4 linked regions of the Astyanax mexicanus genome follow. The protein of the gene in region 3 interacts with the protein of the main gene of each other region in a biochemical or structural test. Links are inferred from orthologs where the notes say so. Each region holds a gene or a part of one and is shown on either strand. Other genes may lie near its edges.

The links.
Region 1: the proteins of ube2m (region 3) and dcun1d5 form a complex in vitro, tested with the Homo sapiens proteins (3 studies listed by BioGRID). The link is inferred for Astyanax mexicanus from reciprocal best matches to the Homo sapiens genes UBE2M and DCUN1D5.
Region 2: the proteins of ube2m (region 3) and dcun1d4 form a complex in vitro, tested with the Homo sapiens proteins (3 studies listed by BioGRID). The link is inferred for Astyanax mexicanus from reciprocal best matches to the Homo sapiens genes UBE2M and DCUN1D4.
Region 4: the proteins of ube2m (region 3) and dcun1d3 form a complex in vitro, tested with the Homo sapiens proteins (4 studies listed by BioGRID and IntAct). The link is inferred for Astyanax mexicanus from reciprocal best matches to the Homo sapiens genes UBE2M and DCUN1D3.

What each region holds. Positions count from the first base shown.
Region 1 is NC_064416.1:4,963,221-4,970,167, reverse strand, and holds the start of dcun1d5 (DCN1-like protein 5), read right to left. Parts: upstream 3,031-6,947; 5' UTR 2,900-3,030; intron 1-2,899. Other genes in the region: eif2a (eukaryotic translation initiation factor 2A), read right to left, coding at 6,303-6,368. UniProt on the Homo sapiens protein: Contributes to the neddylation of all cullins by transferring NEDD8 from N-terminally acetylated NEDD8-conjugating E2s enzyme to different cullin C-terminal domain-RBX complexes which is necessary for the activation of cullin-RING E3 ubiquitin ligases (CRLs).
Region 2 is NC_064408.1:65,186,004-65,193,017, forward strand, and holds the start of dcun1d4 (DCN1-like protein 4), read right to left. Parts: upstream 3,017-7,014; 5' UTR 3,002-3,016; coding exon 2,905-3,001; intron 1-2,904. UniProt on the Homo sapiens protein: Contributes to the neddylation of all cullins by transferring NEDD8 from N-terminally acetylated NEDD8-conjugating E2s enzyme to different cullin C-terminal domain-RBX complexes which are necessary for the activation of cullin-RING E3 ubiquitin ligases (CRLs).
Region 3 is NC_064410.1:32,283,272-32,290,320, reverse strand, and holds the start of ube2m (NEDD8-conjugating enzyme Ubc12), read right to left. Parts: upstream 3,020-7,049; 5' UTR 2,785-3,019; coding exon 2,670-2,784; intron 1-2,669.
Region 4 is NC_064413.1:56,191,860-56,198,724, reverse strand, and holds the start of dcun1d3 (DCN1-like protein 3), read left to right. Parts: upstream 1-3,853; 5' UTR 3,854-4,255; intron 4,256-6,865. UniProt on the Homo sapiens protein: Contributes to the neddylation of all cullins by transferring NEDD8 from N-terminally acetylated NEDD8-conjugating E2s enzyme to different cullin C-terminal domain-RBX complexes and may play a role in the cell cycle progression by regulating the SCF ubiquitin E3 ligase complex, after UV damage.

The sequences.
Region 1 (6,947 bases), on a different chromosome or scaffold from region 3:
CGGTTCGTCCCACGTAGCTTGCTTTAACATGGTAAACATGCAGATTACAGTTCCAATACACTCGCCTCTGAATGGCGAAACAGCTAGTGCTGAGGTTAGCGGCTAATGCTAATGGTGCTGCACCCAGCCTTAGTGCTGGAGAAACTTCTGAAAACCCTTATAACTCTGTACTTCAGCAGAGTGGCTTTACTGCTTCTTTAATACCTGACTGGCAGAATTCATACATAAGGCACACTGTTTTATAAAGTAAATTGACGATTTTTTGGGAAAATAAAGGATTTTAAGTGCACTTCATAGTCTTTATTATTTTTTTTTTATCCAGGTCCTGGAGACATGCTGCACTTATTATTTTTACATTTGAAATATCTAATCTGATATAGCAAATCTAAAATAACTTGGGTTAAAACAGGCTCATTACAAACATGTGCAGAAAGGTGTTCCTCTAGCAACAGCTTTAGGAAACAGTGCTCTGAGATTCTGTTTATTATTCATATCTGTGGATCTTGATTAGTATGAACAGCATGTGCTCCAGACTGCCTCTCGTCTGAAACCACAAGGTCACGCTGAGATTACACAATAACCCTGAGATTGAGGGTTATTTACCAGACGCCAGGTGAGTAATGATGATGATGCAGAGAGCAGAATAACAAGCACGCCACACTTATTCCTTATTCATCCTCATCTCATTTATCTCTAATATACTGTCTCTCTGGTTTAATTTCCAGGTTTATCCAGAATACAAAAAAAAAAACTGCAACAACTTCAATATAAGAGCTATACGGAAAATAATGTTTTAAAACTGTATAAAACTTAGATATACCCTTCAACTCTATTTGTCTTTATATGAAAAGGTTAAACAAGAGGCACAATCAACAGCAGTAGGCATCTGGGTGACTCTTCTTGTTAGTTTTGTTCACAGTGTGATACATTTTGTTTGTTTGGCTCAAGGATATATTATTTCCAGCTTTTCTGCTTTTTACCATCTATATTCTATACTAAAATAAAGTGTGTGCCTAAATCTTAAACCAGACATTCCATATAGCTTATGATACGGCCAATAAAATGAATTAAGAATTGTTGTCAACATATAAATTATGCATGAATGATGACATCAGAATTATATCGGTATCTGCCAAGAATAGCTTTTTTTTTTTTTTTTTTTTTTAATCATCTTCATCAGCCAATATGGCCGATAGTTAAAACCAATATTAATATTTGGTTGGACTGCCTTTAGCTTTGATTGCGACAAGTATTCGCTGTAGAATTAAACTATCAGTAAGTAGATAGTTATTTAATTCTTTCCTTTCTTACTTTTTTAAATAAAAGCCCTTTTTGTATCAATACCCCCTTTTGCAGTTTTGCAACATAATTTAGCCATTCAGAATTTAAGGTATTTCTCAGTTAACTTGTTTTTGATCATCATATAACCTTTTTTATCACTACACCTCTAATGCACATTTGGGTCAAAAATGACCTCTATTCATTTTCTATTGTAATTCATTTAAGGGTTTCTTTAGAACAAATCCTCATTTTTATTTTCCTTTATTACTTTATAAAGAAGATTTTGTACTTTTACATCAGGTTCACACACACACACACACACACAGGTCAGACACAGTTAAAAAATGTATACTGCCCAACTGCACAAAGATTTAATTTAACTCTGCTCAATTAAACTAATTTTTTGCATGACGGGTGCATGTTATTTGCCTAGCCAATGTTCTGTAGGCAATAAGAGCAAGTTACCATCCTCTGTACTGTAAATTGTGACCGTAAAGTGTTGGTAATGCACTGAGAACTGCAATGTAAGATTAAAGTTCCCATGCAATAGAAAAACAAATACAATGGCAGGAGATAAGGAGGGATGTTTTATCCTGTATTAGAAACAAAAATCACAAGCTAACCCCCCTGAATAATAATTCAATAATAAATAGTCATATCAACTGACTATTCTTCTTCTAAATTATTAAAACTGAACTTTTTCAGTGATGGTGTAACAATTTAGGGAGTTAAATAAATACAAATACAAGTTAAAAAGGAACTTGAGCAAGGTGTTAAAAGTTTAACTATTTTAAAAAGGTTGATTTATTTATGACTCCATGACATTTTGAATCATTGACTTCTGTTACAAATCTGATCAAATTCTTGTATTTTAGAATTTCATGTTAGGAGTGTGCCATATATCATATCGTATTTAATCTGCTTTAAAACTGATTTATAAAATGTTTTATAAAGCTGTGAACATTATATAAATGTAACACAAGCGTTACAGGTTAGTTTATTGAGTGTAGTATTAATTAACAGCTGGTATTTTTGTGTATCAAAAATACTAATCTGATTTTAAACTGATTCATTAAGGATTTATGAAGCTGTGGACATTATGTAAAAGCAGCACAAGCGTTACAGATTAGTTTATTGAGTGTAGTATTAATTAACAGCTGGTATTTTTGTGTATCAAAAATACTAATCTGATTTTAAACTGATTCATTAAGGATTTATGAAGCTGTGGACATTATGTAAAAGCAGCACAAGCGTTACAGATTAGTTTATTGAGTGTAGTATTACATAAACGCTGGTATTTGTAATTTCACCTGATTTTAAACTGATTTATTAAGATTTTATAAAGCTGTGGACATTAAATAAATATAGAACAGGCTTTAGAGGTTAGTTTAGTGAGTGGAGTATTTATTAAAAGCTGGTATTTGTGTAATAAATCTGTGGTTATTCTCCGGGAGCTAATGCTGCTGCTGCTACTGTTTACCGGCTACTGAATAAGAGCTAACGGCTAAAGCAGCGCAGCTACCCGGGTAACTATCTGCGCTAAACCCGAACACCCCGCTCCCAGCGCTGATCCGCCGCTTAAATCACCGATATACCGGCTTTAACCGGGAATACTGACCGAACCCGAGCCGCTCAGAGTCCAGATATTCTCCCAATCCACCAGAAAACACAGCGCAGCTCCTCCGCTCCTGCCCCGGTCTCCAGCTCCCCGACACAGCTATCCTATTATACAACCGGGTCCCGCACTACATAATAAAAGTCCCACCCCCGGTCTCTAACACTGTAACATAAAAGACTACTTCAGTTTCTGAATCAGTTTCTCTGATTTTGCTATTTATAGGTTTATGTTTGAGCAAAATGAACATTGTTGTTTTATTCTATAAACTACAGACAACATTTCTCCCAAATTCCAAATAAAAATATTGTCATTTAGAGCATTCATATTCATAAAGTTTTAAGAGTTTAGCAATCAATATTTAGTGGAATAACCCTGATTTTTTTTTTTTTAAATCACAGTTTTCATGCATCTTGGCATTATGTTCTCCTCCACCAGTCTTACACACTGCTTTTGGGGAAAAAATCCAGCAGTTCATCTTGGTTTGATGGCTTGTGATCATCCATCTTTCTCTTGAATGTATTCCAGAGGTTTTAAATTTGGTGAAATCCAAGAAACTCATCATCAAGTCCTCTCTTATTTCTTTTTTTATTTACAGTAATATTCAGTTACAGCTCTGGAATAAAATAAGACTGATTTTACTATTTATAAGTATATATTTGAGTAAAATGAATATTATTGTTAAACTACGGACAACATTTCTCCTCCAACTCCAAATAAAAATATTGCCATTTAGAGCATTTATTTGCAGAAATAACAAAAAAGATGCAGAGCTTTCAGACCTCAAATAATGCAAAGAAAACAAGTTCATATTCATAAACTTTTGTGGAATATCCCTGTTTTTTAATCACAGTTTTCATGCATCTTGGCATCATATTCTCCTCCACCAGTCTTACACAGTGCTTTTGGATAACTTTATACCACTCCTTGGTTTGATTTCTTGTGATCATCCATCTCAACATTCAAACTCAACGTTTGTAAGCGGTCTCTTATTTTTTTTTCCAGAGCTGAATATATATATATTATATATGTGTATTACACACAGAGTGATCTATTTTAAGATTTTATTTATTTTATTGTTGATGATTATGGCTTACAGACAATTTAAAAAAATCGGTATCCCAGAAAATAAAAGTTGTCATCTGCAGAGCCCATAAGGTGACATGTTATTTTTTTTTAACATGTCACCGTATGGGCTCTGCAGGTGACATCTTTTATTTTCCCATAAGGTGACATGTTAAAAAAATAATGAGTGGCCACGACTTATTAAGGCATGGGAACGAGATACTATATGTATGGGAATAAGATAAAAAAAGTCAGAGCCAGAGAATAATAAAGAATAATAAAGCTTGATTGTCTGTAAATGTATGCCCATAAAGAAACTGAATATCACATCAAAGCTCCTTTAATCAAAGGATAAGTAAGAAAATGGAGGGTAAATTGGTTTATTTTTATTTTTATCTTGGAAGGAATTATTGTGATATTTTGGAGTCTCTTGCAGTGAGACATGGTAGAATTCTAAGTAAAAGACACTTACAGTAATTCTCATACTAAAAGCTGAAGGGATTAGTTTCTCAGAGGGTTCTGGGATAATTTTCTCCTCTGTGATTTTATTCCCATCCAGAATGACCATGTATGTGTTTTTCTCAGACGCCCTCTGAGAAAATTACAGGCTGAATTATCTACTGTTTTTCGCTGAACTCCATGGTCCTCCGGTAATTTTAGGCCCGTCCAGACGGACATCTCTTAATTTAGTCACGTCTCGTTTAATAAAATAGCTTTTTGTCCACTGTTGCGCACTGTAAGAGATCTGCGTTAAAAACACAACAGCGAGTGGAAATGGAGGAGCTACTGAATGTGTGGTCACGTGATCGAGAAAGCCTAAAAACTCACTGCTCTTCCTGTTTTTTTAATTGCAGTCCGAATTCAAGAGTTTTATCACTGAGTAGAAGTGTGAAATATTTTTCACAGACGCCCCCCTGAGAAACTAATCCCGTCCGAATAGGGATTTAGGCAGTCATATTGTGCACAACCCCTGAGAGCGGCTTGCTTTGTTAGCTGTGAAACAAAAGGACCTTGAAGCCACACTTTAACAGCACTTGGGTTCTATAGTGCACTACCCCCCCCTCCCCAAAAATACATTTTTATAAAAGCCATAATGACTAAAAAAGTTCTATTAAAATGTTAATGTTGATAAATTTGGGATGCACTAGGCTCCTTGTTTCAGCTGCATATATGCCCATTGATAATGAATGCATTTCACATGTAAATATATTAAAGACAATGTAAATATATTAAAGAAACTTAGTTGGTCTGGAGTTTGTCTGGAGTTCTCTTGAGTCTCTGCACGGATCATCTTCATACTACTCTACATATGTCTGCTATGTTCTTGCTGGAGTGTGGGGGTGGGTGGTGGGGGCGTGTGCAGGTGTGATGCATCACATGATGAACCAATAGGGAGTCGGAATAGTATATGTTTATACTTCTCTACATCCAATCACAATCAGATTCACTCTATCTGGATGGAGAGATTTATCTGGATAGGGGTTTTATTGAACGATGAGAAGCCGGAATGAAAACCAGCTGAAATTAAATAGGAGTAACGAGGCTGTTTTATTAAAATGTAAGGAGTAGAAATTTCAGATAATTGTAAGGGTAAAAATAATTACTCCAGTATAGATAACCTACATTTCTACAATAGTAAGGTAATGAAGTTTTTGTACTTAGTCACTTGACAAATCTAATTTTATTGTATTTTATTTTTAAAATATTTTTAAAAGATATTATGTATAAAATGTGCTATTCAAACAAGCTTGCCTTTGCCTTTCAGATATTTAAAGAGGTTTATGAGTATGAATATGGTACAGTGAAGAAACAGAGGGGACACAAAGTATGTAAGTAGTTTGTAAGCAACCATTATTTATTTCTCTTTCTGATGGAAATTTAATCACTTAGCATTTTGGCAGCATGACGAACAAAAAAAACAACCCAAAGCAAAAACTTTTCTTTTTCCTCATTTTATCGAAACTAAACGGCATGCTCTTTTAATCTACATATGAGTCCAGATGGTGACGTGGGCACTGCAGTGAAGCTTCTTCACCTCCACTGGTTAAACTCCATGTGTAGAACAGCATAACCTGCCTCATAAACTGTACAGAACATTGCATAGCAATAATGCCTTTAGAGGTCCAGGCCATGATGTAGGTTCCAGCCTCACGTTTAAAGAGACAGAATGAATCGCAGCACGTCGGATTTCTTCTTTAAGGTGGGTTTTATGTTTGCAGATTTGATGGGGTTGTACTGAAACCAGTTTGTGATCTGATCTGGTTCAGCTTCTGGTTCCCGTTCACACACGGATCTGTGATGTTGTGATAGGATTGATATGTAATGAAAAGGTAAATGTCTGCTACAGCCCTAACTCTAGTTCCTCCAGTTCCTTCAGCAGCTGGGCCTCCTTCTGCATCTTCTCAAGCTGTGGGATAAAGTTAGAGACGGCATTATAAAATTAGGCACACTTAAAATCATTTAATTTTCCCAAAAAACAGCAGTGCGCCTTATAATCCGATGCTCCTTATGTATGAATTCTACCAGTCAGGTATTAAGAAGCAGTAAAATCACTCTGCTGAAGTACAGAGTTATACAGGAGTTTCACTTTAGGTCTCCAGCAGTATTAGCATTAGCCGCTAACCGCACTAAGCTCTAACCTTTTTGTCGGTCAGAGGTGAGTATTATCGGCCTGCTGCTAACCCCAGCTAGCACTGCTGGAGCAGCATTAGCATTACCCACTAACCGTTCTAATCACTAGCTTTTTTGCCGTTCAGAGGTAAGTATTGCTAAACCCGTCCAGTACTGCTGGAGCAGCATTAGCATTAGCCACTAACCGCACTACGTGCTAGCTCTTTCGCCATTTAGAGGTAAGTATTATCGGACTGTAGCCTGTGCATTTACCGTGATAAAACAACCAATGTTTTAGAAATCTAAGCTTACTTTAAATAAATGGAAGTGGTTTACTTACCCAAACAAACAGTTTCTGTAGAGAAATCTGTGTAAA
Region 2 (7,014 bases), on a different chromosome or scaffold from region 3:
CCAGAGACTGAAGTAACAGAAAAAGCAATTGAAAGGAGGGTCGAAAGGACAACCTTTAGAGCCCTGGTGCTTCACACTGGGCCATTGCTAATTTCAACAATTGTTATCTGGACTAGTTGTGCAAAAACATAGTGATGAAGATGAATCCTTTGGCTTTCTAAAGCGATCTTTCTAGAACACACATATTCTTACTTCCTTACTAAGATGACCATAATGCACTTGCAACGACAGGTTCACTGACAGGGATTAAAGCTCTAGTTCTGGACTACACAGAATTTAATTTAATTGCAACTTTTAATACATTAACAAATGTACAGTTGTTTTCAGAAATCTCCTTTGCCTGTGCCAAGATACACTTCCACAAACATGTTGTGAAGAGAAGACATTGACAGATCCTTGTTCTTCAAATAAAACTGGGTGGCAACACGCACCTGATTCCCATCCCATACTTTTTCCACTCACAAATATGTAATATTGAAAAATTGTCCTCATTCTTGTCTAGGTTGTTCAACATTATCATTCTTTTTATCTACTTTTAGGAATTTAGGAAATTTAGGAAAATCTGATGAGGTTTTAGGTCATATTTATGTAGAAATATAGAAACAGAGAAAGTTTACAAACTTTCAGGCACCACTGCAGGCCAGGACCTTGGTTACTTTCTGTGTACAGAAAAAAAACATATACACCTCTGGAAAAAATAAGGGACCACCAAAAATGTTTGAGTTTCTTTGATTTTACCTAACTTAAAACCTCTGGAATATAATCAAGAGGAAGATGGATGATCACAAGCCATCAACCCAAGCTGAACTGCTTGAATTTTTGCACCAAAAGTGCCATAAAGTTATCCAAAAGCAGTGTGTAAGACTGGTGGAGGAGAACATGCCAAGATGCATGAAAACTGTAATTAAAACCAGGGTTATTTCACCAAATATTGATTTCTGAACTCTTAAACCTTTCTGAATATGAACTTGTTCTCTTGCATGATTTGAAGTCTGAAAGCTCTGCATCTTTTTTGTGATTTCAGCCATTTCTCATTCTCATTTTGAGAGAAATGTTGTCAGTAGTTTATAGAATAAAACAACAATGTTCATTCTACTCAAACATTTACCTATAAATTGCAAAATTCAGAAGAACTGATTCAGAAACTGAAGTTTTTTTTTTTCTAGAACTGTAGGTGCTACTTAAAGCAAGGTTTCTCAATATATAACCTAAAAAAATAAAAACAAGAGTGTAGACTGTCCGGCAGAAAGGTCCTTTATATCTCCTACTGGACAGCCTTGACATTTGACTTAATGATGTGGGTAAGTGTATGTGTGCTCCTGCTTTGGGAAGCAGTGTCCATGTCAGGTTTAGTTTGAGGCAGGGAAACACTAAGACAATGATGGCGGCCCGTCTAACACACATACACTCACAGACACAGTCATACACACACTAAAATCGGGACTAATGTGGTACTGCATATGAGAGGATAGGATCCTTGTGGCCCAGTGTTTGTATTACACAGTACAGGGGTTCAGATTTGGGGAGAGACAAGATACCATAGACACATATGACAACAACTAAACAACTACATAATTATGCTGTGTGTGTGCTCAGCGTTTCTGTAAATGTGTGTGTGTAAAAACACAGTTAGTCTGCGACCCTGTGACGCAGTCTGAAGAAAAAGGCTGATAGCTAACACACATACACACACACACACACACACACACACACACACATAATAAAACCTCTGCTCCGCGCGTGTGTTTATATATATTTGTACCCATTGTCACGCACCCACACCGTACCGGAGCACCGCACGCACTGCACGGACTAAACCTGGCCAACACTCGGCCCGAATGCCACCGAAGTGACCACATACCGAGCATAACAGCGCGCACACAACTTGCAACGAGTTTACAAAGTATCTCAGCGCGAACGGGCTTCTGGGAGATGTAGTCCCCATGACGTATCCCAACTCTCTTCCTCGAACGCAGTGAACCGGCAGAGCGAACTACACTTCCCAGAATTCCCGAGTGAAATAATTTTATTCGGCACCCCTTCTCCTGACACTCACCCCAACTGATGAATGCAATCCAAATGCCACAAAAAACGTCCTGATTTCTAATGAAAAAAGTCCGGGTCGGGGGGCTCGGTCACTCCGCGAGGGGCTTTAGGGCACCGTGCTCGCGCTCTTGCAGAAGACGCGCGCGGGCGCTGCGAAATTTTTACACAACTGCGTCACAATTTTCACCCCCTGTAATTTTCCGCAGTTTTCTCGGAAAACTGACCTATTTAACGCTAATACCGCGGGGTTACACAATCCCCCTGCAGCCTGCTCGCCCAGACCGAGCGAAAGAGCGAGCTGAGGCCAAGCGGAGCTCGCAGATCCCCGAGGTATTAAGGCTAATTAGACTTACAAGTGCATTGTCTGGCTAAACAGGCTCAGATAGATAACCTAACCAACTACAGTCCTGCACTAGATAACCTAGCTGTCTATCTATCTACAGCTCTTGGTCTCTGTGTCTCAGGGAGTAAACACTTTTAGAGAGAGAGAATAATAATAATAAAGGAAGAGCACCGCGAGGCTCAGCTAATATACAGGGTTATGGCTATCTGAAGCTATCAGAGGAGAGAGAGCTATCCGCCGTCGCTGCCAGACCCCAACACAACCACAGCAGCAGAGACAGAGAAATACAAAGAGCCCGGTGAGCTTTAGATTATCCATAGCTATGTTAATACTGTCTCTCCCCTGATTTGTACAGACTGTTATCGCTCGGGTTTCGGCTAGTTTAACACCGCTAAAATGCGTCAAACGCCACAAACAAGGCGAAACGCTCCGTCGTGCAACAAGTTCGCAGCGGGCGCCCCGTGTCGGAACCGTAGCCGGAGAAAAGCGCGCTATTAAGACACTATTGTACTTACTTGTCGCATCTGAGTGCATTTTTATGAAACGCTCAACTGTATTTGTGTGAAGCTGCAGCAGACCGGCCAGTGGGCGGGATATGTCACTGTTCCCCATGCCCACCGATGATTTAGGTGGACGATGGATTTGCAGGCCACGCCCACAATCGACACCGATTGGCCACGACAGGTGCCAATCTCTGAAGGCACACACAAAGAGGTGAAGCCCTCACAGGACGCGGTGTGATACGCTGAAGCTCCACTAAAGCCCCGCCCCTCAAAGCAGCCCACTGGCTGTAGGTCTTCTACGAGCGAATCAATTACGACCGTTTCCTCGTGCAAAGAAGAAAACCGCCCCACGCTGACAGCTCATTGGATACTGTGCGCCCGGGTGCCGCCCCCACCTCTGCTGACAGTGGTCTAAACTCACGTCAATCATCGCTGATTCGGCTGATCTCACGCGCTGATTGGTCGAGGCGCCCAGTTTTGTTTACTGTAGGGCGTGAGAGTCCATTTCCTCACAGATATTTTTGTAGAAAGTTACCACACAGCGAGTTACTCCCTACAGGATTCGTCTTAAAATCTAAACTGCGCTTAAAGTAAACCCAACACTGACTAAAGGCCGCTCTTTAAAACACCGCAGCGCTGTCCTAACGCTCTCTCTCTCTCTTTATCACGGCTGCTCCTGAGGTGTCCATCGCACACATAAATATTCATTTCCTTTGTTTACCATCGTCTCGTATTGTGTTCTTGGAATTTCGCTGTTCACACAAGCACCTTCTCCGTCGACTGAACCCCTCCCCAAGACCTCCTGGCTTTAGATAGACAGATAATGAAGAAAGCTGGCTGTTTATTCCTCAAACTGTGACCATATTCCTCACACATACAGTGGGAGGGGACTCCACAGGGCTGGACTTGCCACGCATGAAGATGTAGCTTCCATCAGATGTTTTATCAATGTTCAGCTTCGAGTCTAGAGCTACAGCTCTGCTCCCAGTACCACCATGCAGTTAGCTGACAATACTGCCTATGTATATAAATATACCCAGCACCACTTGGTGGATTATTTCAGTTTCGTTCAGCATGTTGTCATTCAGAACTCCTTCCTTACTGTTTAACCTGTAGTAAGACATTAATTACCCAAACATGACTGCAGACTACCTTCACACTCTTATCCTGGATTTTTTTTATTGGTCAGCCATGCAAAATTACATCCCTGCTAAAAACAAAATCCAGCTCGAGTCTAGCTTTTATTGGTTGCTGGTTTCAAATGGGCTTTTTGGTATCGAATTTCGAAACACAGCCCTAGTGCCCTGAACGTTTAAGATTCAAAAGTTTATTCTCATATGCACAGAAAAACAGGTAGTTTCACTGTACAATGAAATTCTTACTCTGCCCTTTCCCCTGGACCACAAGTAGGCCGACAAACAATGACAGTAAAATATATGCATTATATACATGTACAAACGGGACAAAGTACACAATATATTTGCAGTATGATTAAATAATGACAATAAAAAAGTGTCAATATGAATGCAAAAGATAATACTGTGCAATACTAAATAGCTGCTAAAAGAGACTTGAGCATTTATATATTTATAAGTATTTTGCAGTATAAATAATAATGTAGGTCTATGAAAGAGGTGACGCATAGAATTGACTAGTGTATTATGCAAAAGAGCAGAGCACTGTGTGTAATGTTCTAGTGATCATCTCATGGGAGAGATGAAAGAGCATGAACTGCATTACTGGTCAGATGCCTGTTCCTAAACCTGTTCCATAATCTGGTCGTCCTTGATTTCACACTCCTGTATAGCCTGCCAAATGGGAGGACTGTGAAGAGGTTTTGTTGAGGATGAGTGTTATCCTTGATAATCTTGTGGACCCTCCTGAAGTGGGGGGGGGGGGGGGGGGGGGGGGGCTTGGATCCAAATCAGTGATGCTTTCAATGATGCACCTGTAGATGTTCCTCAGAGTTTTGGTTGGCATGGTAGCTTTATTGAGTCTTTGTACAAAATACCGAATTTGATACAGAAAATACCAAAGTACCGAAAGATGGCACAAAAAAATTCACTCCCATTCTTTAACTTGCATCAATTTCATTGTGCGTCCATTTATTTTTCTATTTTAGAGACCCTTAATGTACAGTTTTTTCATTTACATGCTCTAACACCAAAATAATCAAGATTTCATCATTATTGGACATTTTGAATAAAAAATTGCTATATAAGCTGTAAAAAGTCAATCATTTTTCTAAGCTTAATTTTTATTTTTGCCATATGCTATATTATATTGTAGAATGATTTTTGTATGCACTGCTATTGATATAAAAAAATTGGTATTGTTACAACCCTACTACAATTCTACTACAATTTGGTCAATTTGGTTTGGGTGGTAGTCCATAGAAAGTCTGTTGTTCTTTAAGCCTGCTGTAAATATTTTGAGCACCATAGGAAAGCCCCAGCCTAGGAGGAGCTTCTTAATTAACTACATATTTGAATGGCATCTGTTTTATGAGGAAGCGTGCAAAAATGTGCAGCATGTACGGTTACTAGAGCTGACTTTGTGAACCTCTGAACTCTGCACTGCTTATTGTACCAATCCTAAAGCAGAGGGTTAGTGTGCTTTGATGTAACCTTTCCAGTACATCTAAAATATCATATCTAGTTAATTTATTTAATTTAAAAGGTAGCATTAACCTGTACCACTTTGGACAGTTCAGATCACCTTTTTTAGGTTTACACATGGATCAAGTGTGTTAGATTAAACTGGAGCCAAAATCTGCAAGGCAAAATCTTGACAGAACAAGTATTGGACATCTCTAAAAGTAGTTATTTTTACTAAGTTGTTCATTTGCTGCTGTATATGTAATGCTCTACATATAGGTCTACTTTCTGTTATTCTGTGTTTACTCTGGTGCAGTTGCTGTGTTGCTTTGTTTAGCTAAGTATTTTATTTTGCTGATATGTAAGCCAATTGGCCTAAATTGGCTTAAATTTAATTAAAACAATTAAAACATGTCAAACAACAATTGATCTACCCAATTTAAGTTGAGGCCTCCGGTGTCCACTAGATGCCCCTATTGGTCAAAAACAATTTAGATGTGTGTGGAATTGTTTTAGATATCAGGGTTGTAAATATAAATCCGAACCAGTAAGAAATCAGGCCAAAGACAAATTAATATATAGTGTTAAAAAATAATTATTACAGGTATATTACATTTCTACTGCAGTCTAAAAATTACTTAAATTAATTTATAAACATGCTATATATTTTAGTTATTGTGCAGTTTCTTACTTTTCTTTCTGTATGTTGATGGACATTATAAATCTATTAGTTGCACCATGTTGTTTCTGCTTACAATTTGCATGATGATGATGAGCTGCAAGTTTAAATACTGGGAAGGATATTCTGCTTGTGCCGGACCGTGACCATGAATGGGATTTTGAGAACAGAAAAAGTTGCGCATCATTGGTGAACCAAATAAAAAAATACCCTATACTGTCCCATAATGTCTAAACAAGACCATAATGCATATCTATGATCAGCTTAATCTAGTAACAACTCATTATTATATGGATTCTGAAAATTCTCTCCATTGAAATGTTCGAACATGGTGTAGATATCAGCAGTGTGAAACTATGTTAATGTGTAAAAAGAAAACTTTGTAATATCTGCAGTGTCAGTGTTACAACTGTGAATGAATTATAAAACTAACTACTAAAAGCTCACTGGCTAAAACAAAATCTGGATATGTTCGGACAAGGCTTACAGTTTCTTTTTCTCCTGTCAACAAAGCTTTAAAAAAAACTCTCCAAAATGGAAAGTTTAAAATCTGTAATTTTGTTACTTGCATAGTACACTACATTGGGAATAGTGTGTAATACATAGGTCTGGAATCTGAATTTTATCTCCTTCCACAAATGTATACAAAATACACAGCTGCCACAGTTTTCCCACCATTGTTCAAACACTGAAATACACAATGGGACTGAAACAGCAGGTGGGGAAGGGCACACAAAATGCATGGTTTATAGAACACATGCTAATTTAAAAAGTGAAGACCCTACTTTAGGTAAAAGAAGAAGACTTTAAGTGAGCCTGGCTTTAATAAAATTGTGTGTGTTTTTT
Region 3 (7,049 bases):
TTGAGCGAAATCTAGCCTGTTTTGGCATTAAGCAAGTGCAGTGAAATCTAGTTTAAGTTTTGAGGTGGTGATGTGAAAGACAGCTGACAGGTGATCGTCATGTCAAAACTCCATAAGCTGGCCTTTTTAAGGGATAACATCTAGCTAATTTGTATCTTTCCTTAGCACTGTCTCTCAGCACATTATCGTGAAGTAGCTGTATACACTTACACGCAAACATACCACCTGACATAAAAATAAATAGTTTTATTGCAAGCACAATGTTTGTGATAACGATAGTCTTGGCAGTATAACAAAACATTGAATAAAAAAAATATTTTAAGAATACACTATAGCAACAAAATGAAAATTGTAATATTGCATACGATATGATATGGCACACCACCAACTTAAAAAAAAAATAGAAGTATTTTATCAGATGTGTAACAGAAGTTAATGATACTAATAATGCAAATATCCAAGACTAAAGCAAAATGAATGATACTAAACAGACATAATCTGTCTCTAGTAAATATTTAATGAGAAATTGCTAAAAACAGCAAAAAAGTAGTACCCTGATGTCATAATTAGGAGTGGGTGATCTGGCACGCAATTTCAGGATATAATATTGTTCATGCTATTCGAAAATGTTGCTGATATTATTGCACACCACACGATATGGCACACCCCTAGTGTTCCAAACTGTATTATTGCAACGAATAGTCAACATTAGCTTTCATTTTGATTTGAAAATTTTAGTGTTAACTAATCGTTAACTGCAATGCACTACACAAACTGCTGGGACAGAAACACAATGGGGGATTGCTCGCTCGCTCACTCACTCCAGTTGTTTCTATCGTTTTGAGGTGATAGCAAAAGCTAGGAACAGGAGCCATAGCCACAGAAACCCAAGATAAAGGTATTGGTAGAAACAATCAGAAACAATCATTGACTAATTGACTAATCTGAAAAATTATCAACAGATTAGTTTGCAACCAAAATAGTCGGTAGCTGTACTTCCTGCCGTTCTGGGGTAGGCACTAATTCAACATTTTACACACCCTGCCACACTAAACCCAGGTAACCAGTACTGATTCTGCTCTCTCTAACACAACATGAAGTTACTAATGACTTTCATATTCTGCTTATAAAAGTGCACTATTAAATCCCTCAGAAAATATAGTACTTTTTATAATAAGAAAAAAAAAACTTTGTTAGAGACTACACAAAACTGATGCAGTCTGGTTTAATAGAACAGGTCAGTTCACTAAGTTTAATCAGCAAATTGAAAACTAAATTACAATGAAGTGTCATGACGTCTGATTTATCTAATCATAGTAAGATCTTTACTTGCATGTCAGTAGCAGGACATGACATAAAGCATAAGAGAAGGTCCAATAAAGAAAATCCATAAAAACTGTGAGAGATTACCATAGGCAGAACACATTTTATCTTACAGCTTTAGTCTATCACTTGTCCAGTCAGATCTAATGATAAACTGAACAGTTTATCAGTTCCTGGCTCAACTGTGTCAGAGTCAGAGGAGGCAGCTAGCTATAGCTGGATATTAACTTACATGCTCCAAAGAAACTAGTTCCCTAAACAAAGCCAAAGCCACTGTTTATCTCTTCCTACACAGAACCTATTATGTAGTAAAAACTACACTTCTAAGGATTTCTCTTTAGCTATATTTCTGAAACAGCTTGTCCTTGTTTTCCTCACAAACAAAGGGGACCATACAAAAATACAACCCATGATTGTGTTAATTATGCATTGTAGTTAATGAAGTGATTATTTTTGGGGAACGGGTTGCCACGTTTTAGACTATGGACAGTGACACTGATGCTATTAACCCATGTAAAATAAAATAATGATAATTGTAAGTGTTAGATATGCTCCAATAACATTATTCCTGTTCTTCACATAAATAAAAACAGACTGTAAACTTTTGTAGCCTGCTAAGCTAAGCTAGTTAGGATAGCTAACGTTAGCTAAGCTAACTAACGGCTAACTTGACGTTAGTTGATAGTTTGGTCGAATTAAAGGCCATAATTCCATGAAGTATGGCGAAAATTAGTGTCTAATTAACACTTAATGTTACCATGCGACTGACACCTAATAACAACTAATATATATGGAATAATATATAGCTACATAAAGCTAGCTAGCGGGCTATATTTAACAGAATTCGCCAAAGCTAATCTGCTCCTCTGGGTTAGCTTAGCTAACTAGCTAACCTTTGCTAGCTACAGTTAAATGCTTCCATCAGGAAATGAGCTAGATAGTTAGATACTGGATTTTTTTAGCCTGTTTAGTTAAATATCATTTCGTTTTCTCTAAGACAATGTCGTCTCAAACTCGTCGAAATGTTCAAGACTTATAAAAGACCAAAGCCGGCGATTAAAACACCTGAATGCTAAAACGGAGTGTGTTTAGTTCAGTGATGCTAGCGCTGTTTTCCTAGTTAGTGAGCTGGCTAGGTTAGCTAGCTTCGCCGCTTGTGCTTCTTGGAGATACGCCGTTGTGTTTTTATCTAAAATTTGTTTTTGTTTTGTAGAGATAAGACACCGGACTGATTCACACCAAAAGCGCGGCTGGTGATTTCAGTTCTGCTGTCCGTGTTCGGTGTTTCGGGTCTGTGTTACTGACTTTAATGAAGCTGTAGCCCCGGCGTTAGCCAGCTAGCCTACCTTTCTGTATCCGCAGCTGGGCCGCGCTTGCTTTTTTACCCCCGGCTCCGGTTCTGTTTCCTCCAGCAGACTCTTCATCTTTTTTCTGCTGTTTTAAAGAAAATAGTTTAATCATGTTTTGTGTGGCCGTGCGCCGGAGTCCGTGTCCTGTATGACTGTGTGTGTGGGGTTGATGGTGAAAGGTGAAGCTCAGAGAGATGGATGTGAATACAGCATTCAGGCCGGGAGAAGCAGCACTGAGCTAAACTACAGCAACACTGGAGCTCAGTCACTCTTACACAACTACACCAACACTGAGCACCAGCACACTCAGACAGCTACAATATTTCTGAGAACAGTCCGTGACAACTACATTAACACTGTGCACAAACCAACTGAGACAACTACACTAACACTGACCATAAGTACACAACTAAACCAACACTGAGCACAACTCCACTAATACTTAGCACAGTCAGACAACTACACTTACATTGAGCACAATCAAACTGAGATAACTACACTAACACTGACTATAAATACACAACAACACCAACACTGACAGAAATACATAATTACACTAAAACTGACCACAAATACACAACTACACTAACACTCACGTCAACAACACTCATGCAGCTACACTAACACTGAACACATATACATAACTACACTAACACTGTTCACAACCACACTCACATAACTACACTAACACTGAGCACAAACACAATTACACTAACAATGACCATAAATACACAACTGAACACATATACACAACTACATTAACACTGAACACAAATACATAACAACACCAACCCTACGCACAAACACAACCACCCCAACACTGAGCACAACCACCTCTAAGTAAAATCACACACAAATACACCAGCACTGAGAATATTCACATTTACACAAATACACTGATTATCACACTCACACAATTACAAAAAAACTGAGCACAAATACACAACAACTGCACTTATACTGAATACAATCACACAACTACACACAACATTGTTTTTTTATTCAGTCACAACATGTATCTCTGATGTATTCATGTTAATGTATGAATGTATGTTTTTTTTATTACTGACCATTAGATGACCTGATATAGTGAGTTATTACTAAATAAAAAAACAATCAAACAAATGGGTACATTGTATTTGAGCTTTAAAAAATATATATAAAACAGATGTTTTAAATAATAATGATAAGGGTGGACAAAAGAAAGGAAATCAGCAGAAGCTGTACTGAATTAAATAAAAAGGCTTTAGTTTAAGTAAACTAGAAGAGAAACAGCACTATACTGTTAACTTGAACTGAGTGCTGAAGTGTCTCCTGCATTTTATTAAAGCAAAAATCAGTTTTGTCCATAATCATCCACACATGTGAACATGCCACATTTTGTTCATATCCGAGTTTTTAGAAATGACTAGAGTCAAGCTCTTCTTAGCACAATGACGATCTGTCCCTTAATCAGTTATCAAACGTACCAAACTTATAATTATTTTATAACAATAAACTTCTATTAACCTTTTATACATAAAAACAGACTAATCTGCTTCAGATTATGGAATAAAGAAAACAATAAATCAGTAGGACTGGTCAGAAGGATCAGTAGGATTGAAACAGCAGAAAACTTGGGTGCCTGATAATATCTAATGATAAAGTGCACCTAGAAAAATCAACTGGGGTCAAAATAGCACACAGCAATATGGCATGAAATTGATCTTAAATGTTGACTTATTATGCCATGATATTGAATCAACTTTGTTGTCACTGTTACAATTTAGTACCATTCAACCATTAAATGTTCCAAAAACATATGGTCATTCTTGTTTGTTTGATTTTATGTACAAATTTTTGTATGAAAGCAACTGCCTAAGTAAACTGTCAAATCTGCACCCCTGATAGTCTGAACCCTCTCATGAATAGCTTAAAGTACACAAAAAAATAAATGTGTTACTGATATGCAAATTGTAATCCTTGACTTAAATATGAATCAACAAATATGGTACCTTTAAGCAATTGTGTATTAAAATATGCCGAACTGTGCATATCTGTAAATAGGTATATGACATATTCACAATTACAAAATCACTTATTCATAGAGTTTTACCTGGTGCTCCAAATTTTCTCTGTTTAAGCCTATTTATATTTATATGTTAGCCTAGCATTACCTCAGTTGTAATTCATATACAAGCTTACTCAAAACCTGTACTTACTTGGAATAATAAATGTATATAGTTTATTATGACCTATAAAAGTATATAGTCACACATTCTATAATCATTTATATATAGTCACACAACTATATTTTGACATAAATAGCTTACAGCTCATGTTATCTAAGATAAATGAGAATCTGTTCTCATTTCAGTTCATGTCAAACTGAAAGATGTCAACTATAATCTTAAGACTAATTACTGATCTGTAGGGCAAACAACCACAAAACAGCAGCAAAAATATGCTGTAATTTCCTGTGCTAATTTAGTCACAAAGCCTGCCTTCTGTCTTTTATGAAAAGCCTTTAAATGTGACTACAAATGAATGACTAAAGATTGCTTCTTTAGTTTTAGAAATGACCCAAGGCTAATGCAAGTGCAAAATAATAAAAGCTTATAATCCATTAGCACTGAAATGCAGAGGCCAGTGCAGCTAGCAAGCTAGCTAGCTAATGTAAAAGAGAGTTATTTCATGAGTGTAATTTTTTTTCTTTTTCTTAAAATTGCAGGATAATTATTATATTATCTCAGGAAAGCTATGATAATATCAACATTTTGAGATCTCAAACAACTTCTTATAATGGAAAAAGACAAGTAAATAACATTAATGTCAACTGTGGTTTACGTCAATTGTGACTGCTTATGCATGTGTCACCTTATTTAAAAGTGTAAATCCTAGTGTTAACCAATAATGTAACATTTCACCACCTCAACTAATCATGAAAGGAAATGGTCAGCTAGGCCAGAAGTGCTCTCTGTTATAGTGTTTTACTCACAGATATGCTAGTATTTATTTTTCAAATGTACTTGTTTACTCACTAGCTTATACATGCGTCTGAAATGACTGACTTTGCCATTTAAGTCTAACCATTTACTTTAAAGTATATTTAAATGTACATCAGTCTGTCTGTTTACATTTAAGTTAAAACATTTTAGCCTGCATTGCCTTCATTATAATGTACAATACAGGGCAGCTGTTTAGAACAGAAGAAAAAATGTTGGGTAAAATTAATGATTACTGTTTTTTTATCATAAAACCACACAAGCTAACACAATGACTTTGGCACTCTGCATTAGCAAATAGTTGTGTCAAAAAAATGTATTAGATCATTAGTGGTAAATAAATCAAGCTAAAACCACTGTACATTAATCTAAAAGAGAAAATAATGAACACTTATAAAACGTGAGATATGAGTAATGAACATTACACCTTAAGTAGTAAACTCACACCTGTGATGTCACCTCAAGAAAAACGTCATGACATCATAGGTGTGAATCAGTCACACTCAGGCACTTTTATTTGTGTCTTATAAGTGACGACGCCCCGTGGATGAGTGAACGGTGTTCAGAATGATACCATGCGTCTACCAGTCCCGATCCGGGTTAAATGTGATCCTGGTTAAGTCCTGTTCTGTGACTCTCCCCCAGCTCGTCTCACAGAACTACACATCCCATAATGCTCTCGCTTGTCTGTGACGACGCGAAAGTGGGAGGGGCGTGTGTGTTTTTTTTAACCTCCATATTTTATTTACTATTTATTTATTTCATTTTTAAGGCAGAAATGGAGGACGATGGCGTCTTATGTGTCATCAAGACCCCAAAGACGAATTTGTAACGTTACGCGAAATTAAATCTAACACGACGTGAGAAAAAAACAGCCTGAGCAGATCTGACACAATAGAGACAAATGAGGAGAACAATAGCCACGTTCAGTCGCCTGCTCAGTTTTCTTTCGTTTTGATCGTTTCTGGAAATTGTATTTTTGAAGTAGGGGCGAATACGAGTGGAAATATAGGAGTCGCTGTGAAAGCGGGGCATTTTTAGACTGTGGGGATGCGTTCAGTGCAGATGCGGTGTGAAAACCTTGGGCTGTGAGAGAGAGAGCACGTTGGGACTGGATAAGGAGAGGGAGCGAGAGAGAGAGAGGGGGGAGAGAGAGAGAGAGAGGGTCATAGAAAACACTGAATGGCACCGAAACGCACACATACACAGATAATTCATATAATCCATCCATTCAGCAACCGCTGTAACTCTGCATTTATCTCTTCTGAACCTCAAACCCCCCGCAAAGGGCGCGGGGGAGAGCGGGTCTGATGGCAAGTTTTTCCTGATGCTGCTCGTTTTTTGAAGATGCACATGTAACTAAACGCTGCCAAAGCAGAAGAACAGAACAGGA
Region 4 (6,865 bases), on a different chromosome or scaffold from region 3:
TATAAACACCCCGCAGACCCGAATCAGCAACATAAATGCTGAAATTCCCTGTATTTAATACATTAATTACAGTTTATCTGATTACAGTACCTCTCCTGTACTCCTGACCCCCGCTGCTGCTGCTGCTTCTGCAACAGACTGCGCACAACACCGGCGTTTGGGCCGTCAATACTGCGCACACTTTACTTTCTGCGCAGAGTTTAGTGCGTTCTGTTTTATGGATAGAGAAAGTAAAATTCCATCCCATGGTTTTGTTTCAACGGCCTGGGCGGATTTGCTGAAGCTGAGCCGCCCTGGCAGTTGGTACAAAACCCTGCGATGGATTTTTACTTTCTGGACCTGGATGACTCACCTCTATTTATGGAGGACGAAAAATTACATAAGTATAAACAAATAAAAGCACATATAAAAGAATAATATATATATATATATATGTATATAAATAAATAATGACATACGCGCATAACTAATTGTATAGATAAATAAATCAATTATTAAATATATATTTATTGTATTTATTTATTCGTCCTTCATACTGTTTGTGCAGATCTGTAATAATAATAAAGTACAGAGCCTTTATTAGAGTTTTATATATAGAGGAGATAAATGAGGGTCTAAAAGTAAACCTCTCATAAAAATAAAAAAATCAACATTATTAATATTTTGTTTAAATAATAAAAAAAAACCCCACACAATTATATTTTCAGTTTTGTAGTTTTTCATGTTTTTATATATATTTAATATCTTATAATTTATACTTGTTGTTAATTGTGTATTTATTGTATTTGAGATTTTTTACTTATTTTCTATATTTAATATTGGACCTATTTTCACACATCACAATATTATTATACTAGAGCATCTCAAAAAAATGTATTGAAATCATGTGGATCAAAACCAGCAGATGACATTTCCTCTGCTGACAACTTTTTTGGAAATGGGGATTTCATTTTCCAGCAGGACTTGACACACTGCACACACTGCCCATTAGTACCAATTAGTCTTATATAATATTCTAATTTCCGGAGACACTGATTTTTCAACAATGAAAGAAATAAACTCGTAAAATAGATCACTCTGTGTCTATATAATATATGAGTTTCACATTTTAAACCGGATTACTGAAATAAAGAGATACACTAGTATAGGTGTGTTTCAGTCCTGGGGCCTCATGTACTAAAGGTGCGTACGCACAAAAATATTGCGTACGCCATATTTCACGCTCACGGTCAGATGTACTAAATTTAACTTGAACGTGAGAAAGTGCGTTCCCCCACGGAACTTTTGTTTCGGGCGTACGCCTTTTTTTTGTGCGTATGTATTGTGTTTTTGTCATTTGGCGACACTTAGAGGCGATGCATTGAAATTACAACTATTAAGATATCCTTTATGCACACATTGTAGTCAGCATTACTGGGTAAAATAAAGTTAATTAATCAGACAATTTCATTGGCTTACATAAATAATCGTTTAAAGTGTTTCCACTTAGCCTAGATTCTATAAAAATGCATAAAAGTTTGCGCTGGAGTTGTTGGAGTTGGCAACGTTGGCATTATTGGAAAATATTGCTAATGGCCAAATTCATTGAGAGCGCATTTTCCACGACCATTATGTTTTTTTGGCCCATGATGATGACTGACTTATAAGCCGTTTTAGATTTTCAAGAGCATAGGAGGATAAGAAAACAAGCTGAATGCGTGACGTGTGGCTTCTTGGTAAGCAACTCATTTAAGATAGATAGATAGATAGATACTTTATTGATCCCGAAGGAAATTTAGCAAATTTAAATTTAAAGCATTTAAATGAAATCATTTATTATCCCTCTTAGAATAATACAATTTAAAACATGGGTAATTAAACGTGTATATCATATTAATAATAATATAATAATAATTTTTATTATAATTTTTTTTTTATTATTATTATTATTCTAACTTTATACTATGCGTAATTGAGGGAGGAGTCATGGCAGGTGTGATGTGTTCGTGCATTTGCGCTTGATTTCAAGTTGATTGTGATGTACTAAGAGAAAGTACGTGGGATTCTGTCTACGCACGGTTTGATAAATCCAAATTTTTTTGTGCGTACGGAAGAGTACTAACTAATACTCCTGGGTTACATCATTCACAATACTAACTAATACTCCTGGATCAGGGTTAGAAAGCTACATTATTGCACTATATCAAGGTCAGCCTCCTTTGTCTTTTATTCCTATTTATTTCCTGATGAGAAGTTTCACTGGTGTCTCAGTGTCTGTGGTGTCAAAGCTTCTGATTTTACAAAAAGTTTCAGATATAAGAGGCGTGGATCTGTTTTTCTCTGTAAAGCTGCTTTATGACAACCTTTGTTGTAAAAAGCGCTATAGAAATAAATTGAATTGAATAACGGGTTCTTACATGAAATTCCAACACAGATGGAAGCAGCTGCGCTTCTCTTCGTCTCCCCTCACTGTGCCCCGCCCCTCTCCCATATGCCCCGCCCTCCACAGACACAACGCCGATAGATAGATAGATAGATAGATAGATAGATAGATAGATAGATAGATAGATAGATAGATAGATAGATAGATAGATAGATAGATAGATAGATAGATATTTATGCCGAGAGAAGTTTAGGAAAGAACAAGCAAGGGACTGGAGATAGGGGGCACCCAATTTACTGACTATCTATAGCCAATCAAAAGCAAGGTTTAAATTCGAAATAGTATCTTCAATATCTCAACATTTTAAGCTCCATGGACCAGTGACAGAATAAAAAAACATATCACATTTCAAAAAAAAAAAAAAATAAAATTAAAATAAAATACATTTATTTGCAGAATCCCAGGCAGATCCAATCCAGATATTGGGGTTGATCCAGTCCCAGCTATAAAGTAGATCCATTCCATGTTTTGAAGCAGATCCAGTCCTTATTTTGAAGCAGATCAAGTCCAGGTACTAAAGCAGATTCAGTCCTAGTTTTGAAGCAGACCCATTTCTTGTATTGTGGCTTCCCCAGTCCTGATATTAAAGCAGATCTGGCCCTGGTATTGAAGCAGCTCCAGCCTTGATATTGAAGCAGATCCAGTCCGTGTATTGTGGCTAATCCAGTCCATGTTTTGAAGCAGGTCAAGTTTTGGTTTTGAAGATAAGATAAGATAAGATACTTTTATTGTCATTGCACAGTGTACAACGAAATTTAGCAGCAATCCTTATGGTGCCTGAACAAAAATAAAAGAAAACAAAATAATAACAGCTCTATGTACAAATACACAAATTTACACACATTTACAGTGGATGTATGAAAATATAGGCAATATAGTAACAATTTACCCAATAATAAATACAGAAAGTGCACAGTGCGTTGTAAGTCCAGCTATTAAGGTTTGTACGTTTAATTTTTTAGTTCCTTGGTAGTGGTCTGAGAGTGTGCGTGCATTTTGCAGTGTTCAGTTCTCGTACAGTACTATGGTAAAAACTGTTTTTCAGTCTTCAGAAGCAAATCCAGTCCAGGTTTGTGGCTAATCCAGTTCAGGTTTGTAGGAAGATCTGGTCCTGGTATTGAAGCAGAGCAAGTCCATATTTTGAAGCAGATTCATTCCTTGTATTGTGGCTAATCCAGTCCATGATTTGAAGCAGACACAGTCATGTTTTTTAAGCAGATCCGGTAATTGAAGTAGATCCAGTCCATGTTTTGAAGCTGATCAAGTCCTGGTATTAAAGCAGATCCAGTATTGGGTTTGAAGCAGATCGAGTCCAGATTTTGAAGCAGGTCAAGTTTTGGTTTTGAAAGAAATCCAGTCCAGGTTTTGTGACTGATCCAGTCCATATTTTGAAGCAGAACCAGTCCATGTTTTAAAGCATACCCCTTCCTTGTATTGAGGCTAATCCAGTCCGCGGTGTTAAACCAGACGCAGTCCGTGTTTTTAAGCAGATTCAGTCCGGGTTTTGCGGCGGATCCGCTCAGGCTGTACAGGACGTGACGGAGGGAAAATTCCCATAATGTTCAGTGATTGAGTAAAGATCAGCAGAAGAGGAACACAAAGAGAAAAACACTCTCACACACGCACAAACCCCGTATCTCCCTCACCCAGCACCGCACTCACACCGGGACCCCCCGGAGCCGCGCTGCGGGCTGCCGGCCGGGCCCTCGCCCCTCGCTGGAGCTGTAGAGCCGGGCTGAGAGCAGGAGCGCACGGGGGCTGGAGCTGCTGGATGTGGAAGTGTCGGACCCGCGGCGGCGGCGACCTGCCCCGATCCCCCCGCTTACTGCCCAGGTGAGTCTCTGAACCCGCCCCCTGACTCCACTACACCCCACACACCTGAACTCCGCTCACCTGAACTCAGCTACACCCCGAACACCTGAGATCCACACTCCTCAACTCCTCCGCGCTCCGAGAAACAGGGCGAAGCAGCGTTTAGCACCCCAGCTAATTAGCCCGATGCTAAAGCTAACGGAAAAGTGAACGGGATTTGCGCTGAATTGGGCCAGCAGCGGGCACACTGAGCTAGCTTAGTTAGCCTGTTAGCTTAGTAAAGCTAAATAAGACTTTGTCAGCTCTGTCAGCGCCGCAGAAAAGTATAAACGATCTAATAAACTAAATAAACAGAAGAGTAAAGTAGATGAAAGCCTGATTTTGTAGGTAAAGTCCTGTTTATTTAGTTTACTTTAGTTTAAATACAGTAACAACACAGCTTAGCCTGGTTAGCTTATGTAGGCTGTAGTAGAGTTATGGAGCTAGCTTTAGCTTTAGCTACTTCTGCTAAATCCCTGTACCAACTACAGTAAAAGTCATTTGATCATTTAACAACATTTATATATAAGCATCATAAACCACAAACCCCATAAAATATATAATATATATATAAAGTTCACTGTAGCTGTTTAAGTAAGTCTAGTATGTAAGTTAATTTACCTCCGTTAAACCCATAAAGCTATATATATATATATATATATATATATATATATATATATATATATATATATATATATATATATATATTAGTAGTGTCAGTGGATTAAAACATTTAATCAGAATAATCACAACAATATTCTGTGATAAACTGCGATTAATCACAATTTTCATTCTTAAGACAGGGTTTTATAGTGGCCATTTAAATGTAATTTAAAGAATGAATGTAAGAAAAGTAAAATGTGAATATATTAATATTAATTAATCTAAATAATAGTTTCTACTTGTATGTTTGAGGGGAGATAAAGCCGTAACGTGAGGCGCTGGAATAAAGAATGAATGATAAATAGGATATAGGAAACATTTTTTTTACTTTGTTGTGAACATCTCAGCTTGGTTGTAAGGATTTCTGAATTAGAACTTGGTATAAAAGAGCGTTTTTACACCTGTAGTTATGAAAGTTTCTAAAATCCGGATCAGTTGATAAGTTTATTTATTTGGCACCAAAATGCGCATCAATAAACTACACAAACACATCAGAGTCTCCTCTGATTGTCAGAGCTGTCTGGAGCAGGAGTACGAAAGTAAATATAGTGAGAAGATTCTGTGTTCCACTGTGTATATCTGTATATCTGTGCAGTGTAAAGCCGCTTTAATATAGAACGCTGAGAATTTGCAGCTGCGCTTTTAAACACAGTGTTTTCAATGGGACATGCAGCACAGATATGAGCAGTGAATGCATGTAAACAGCATGGAGCAGCAGAGACAGCGTTCATTCATAGCAGTATATTATCTGGCTAATATATCAGAATAAACTGCTGTGTGTGTGTTTGTGTGTGTTTGTGTGTGTGTGTGTGTGTGTGTGTGTGTGTGTGTGTTCAATTGAAGGTGCTGGTCAGTGCTCAGGTACAGACATATACCAATATAAAGTATAGAATTTAATTTAAATTCATGTCATATCAGACAAGACATTGTTTGACACTAATAGAAACCATATATCATTGCTGTCATGTCAAAACCTTGTATCTACAAAAATACATTTTTACAGGATTAGAGAGAATAAGACTGTCCCTAACACTGAGACTGAAGTTCTTGGGGAATAGAATAGAAGAATAGAAATTCTTCAAAATTTCATAAAATAAACACTCTTTATATCGACTAAAGGAAGCTTTTAAAAAGGTTTTATCTCTCTTCTGTAAAGTAGCCGTTTTAGAAATACATGTTTTTCATTGGGCAGCGATGATACGTTAAAATGTTTTATTTAGGAAGGAAAATAAACCTTTGAATAGAATAAAGGACAGAGTCCAAAATTAATGAGTTTATATTAAAGTTAGTTTATACGGAAATATGCACTTGTTTTATACTGAATACTGAAATATGTACTTATGTCCTCAACACAGAACTATGTGAAATGTTTTAGTACTGCAGACATAATTTTTATAATTTTGAACTCCAGTTATAAGCATTTTTAACATGCTCTAACTGTATCTCCAGGATCAGCTCACCAACCAAATCAATCATAGAAAAACTATCAACGACTGGGCTAAAACTGGGCTAAAATCATGGCATTGAATGCAACAGCAGTTCCATTCAGAGTAAAAAAGAGTAAACTTTACATTACATGAACACTGCTGGTTAGGGATGCACCGAGGTGGGAGTTCTGGGCCGATATCAGTTATTACACACACATACAGCTCTGGGAAAAAAACTAAGAACCCATTTAAAAATGAGTTTCTTAAATTTTACCAAATTGAAAACCTCTGGAAGATGGATGATCACAAACCATCAAACCACCAAACTGAACTGCTTGAATTTTTGCACCAGGAGTAAAGCAGCATAAAGTTATCCAAAAGCAGTGTGTAAGACTGGTGGAGGAGAACATGATGCCAAGATGCATGAATTAAAATTTGTGATTAAAAACCAGGGTTATTCCACCAAATATTGATTTCTGAACTCTTAAAACTTTATGAATAG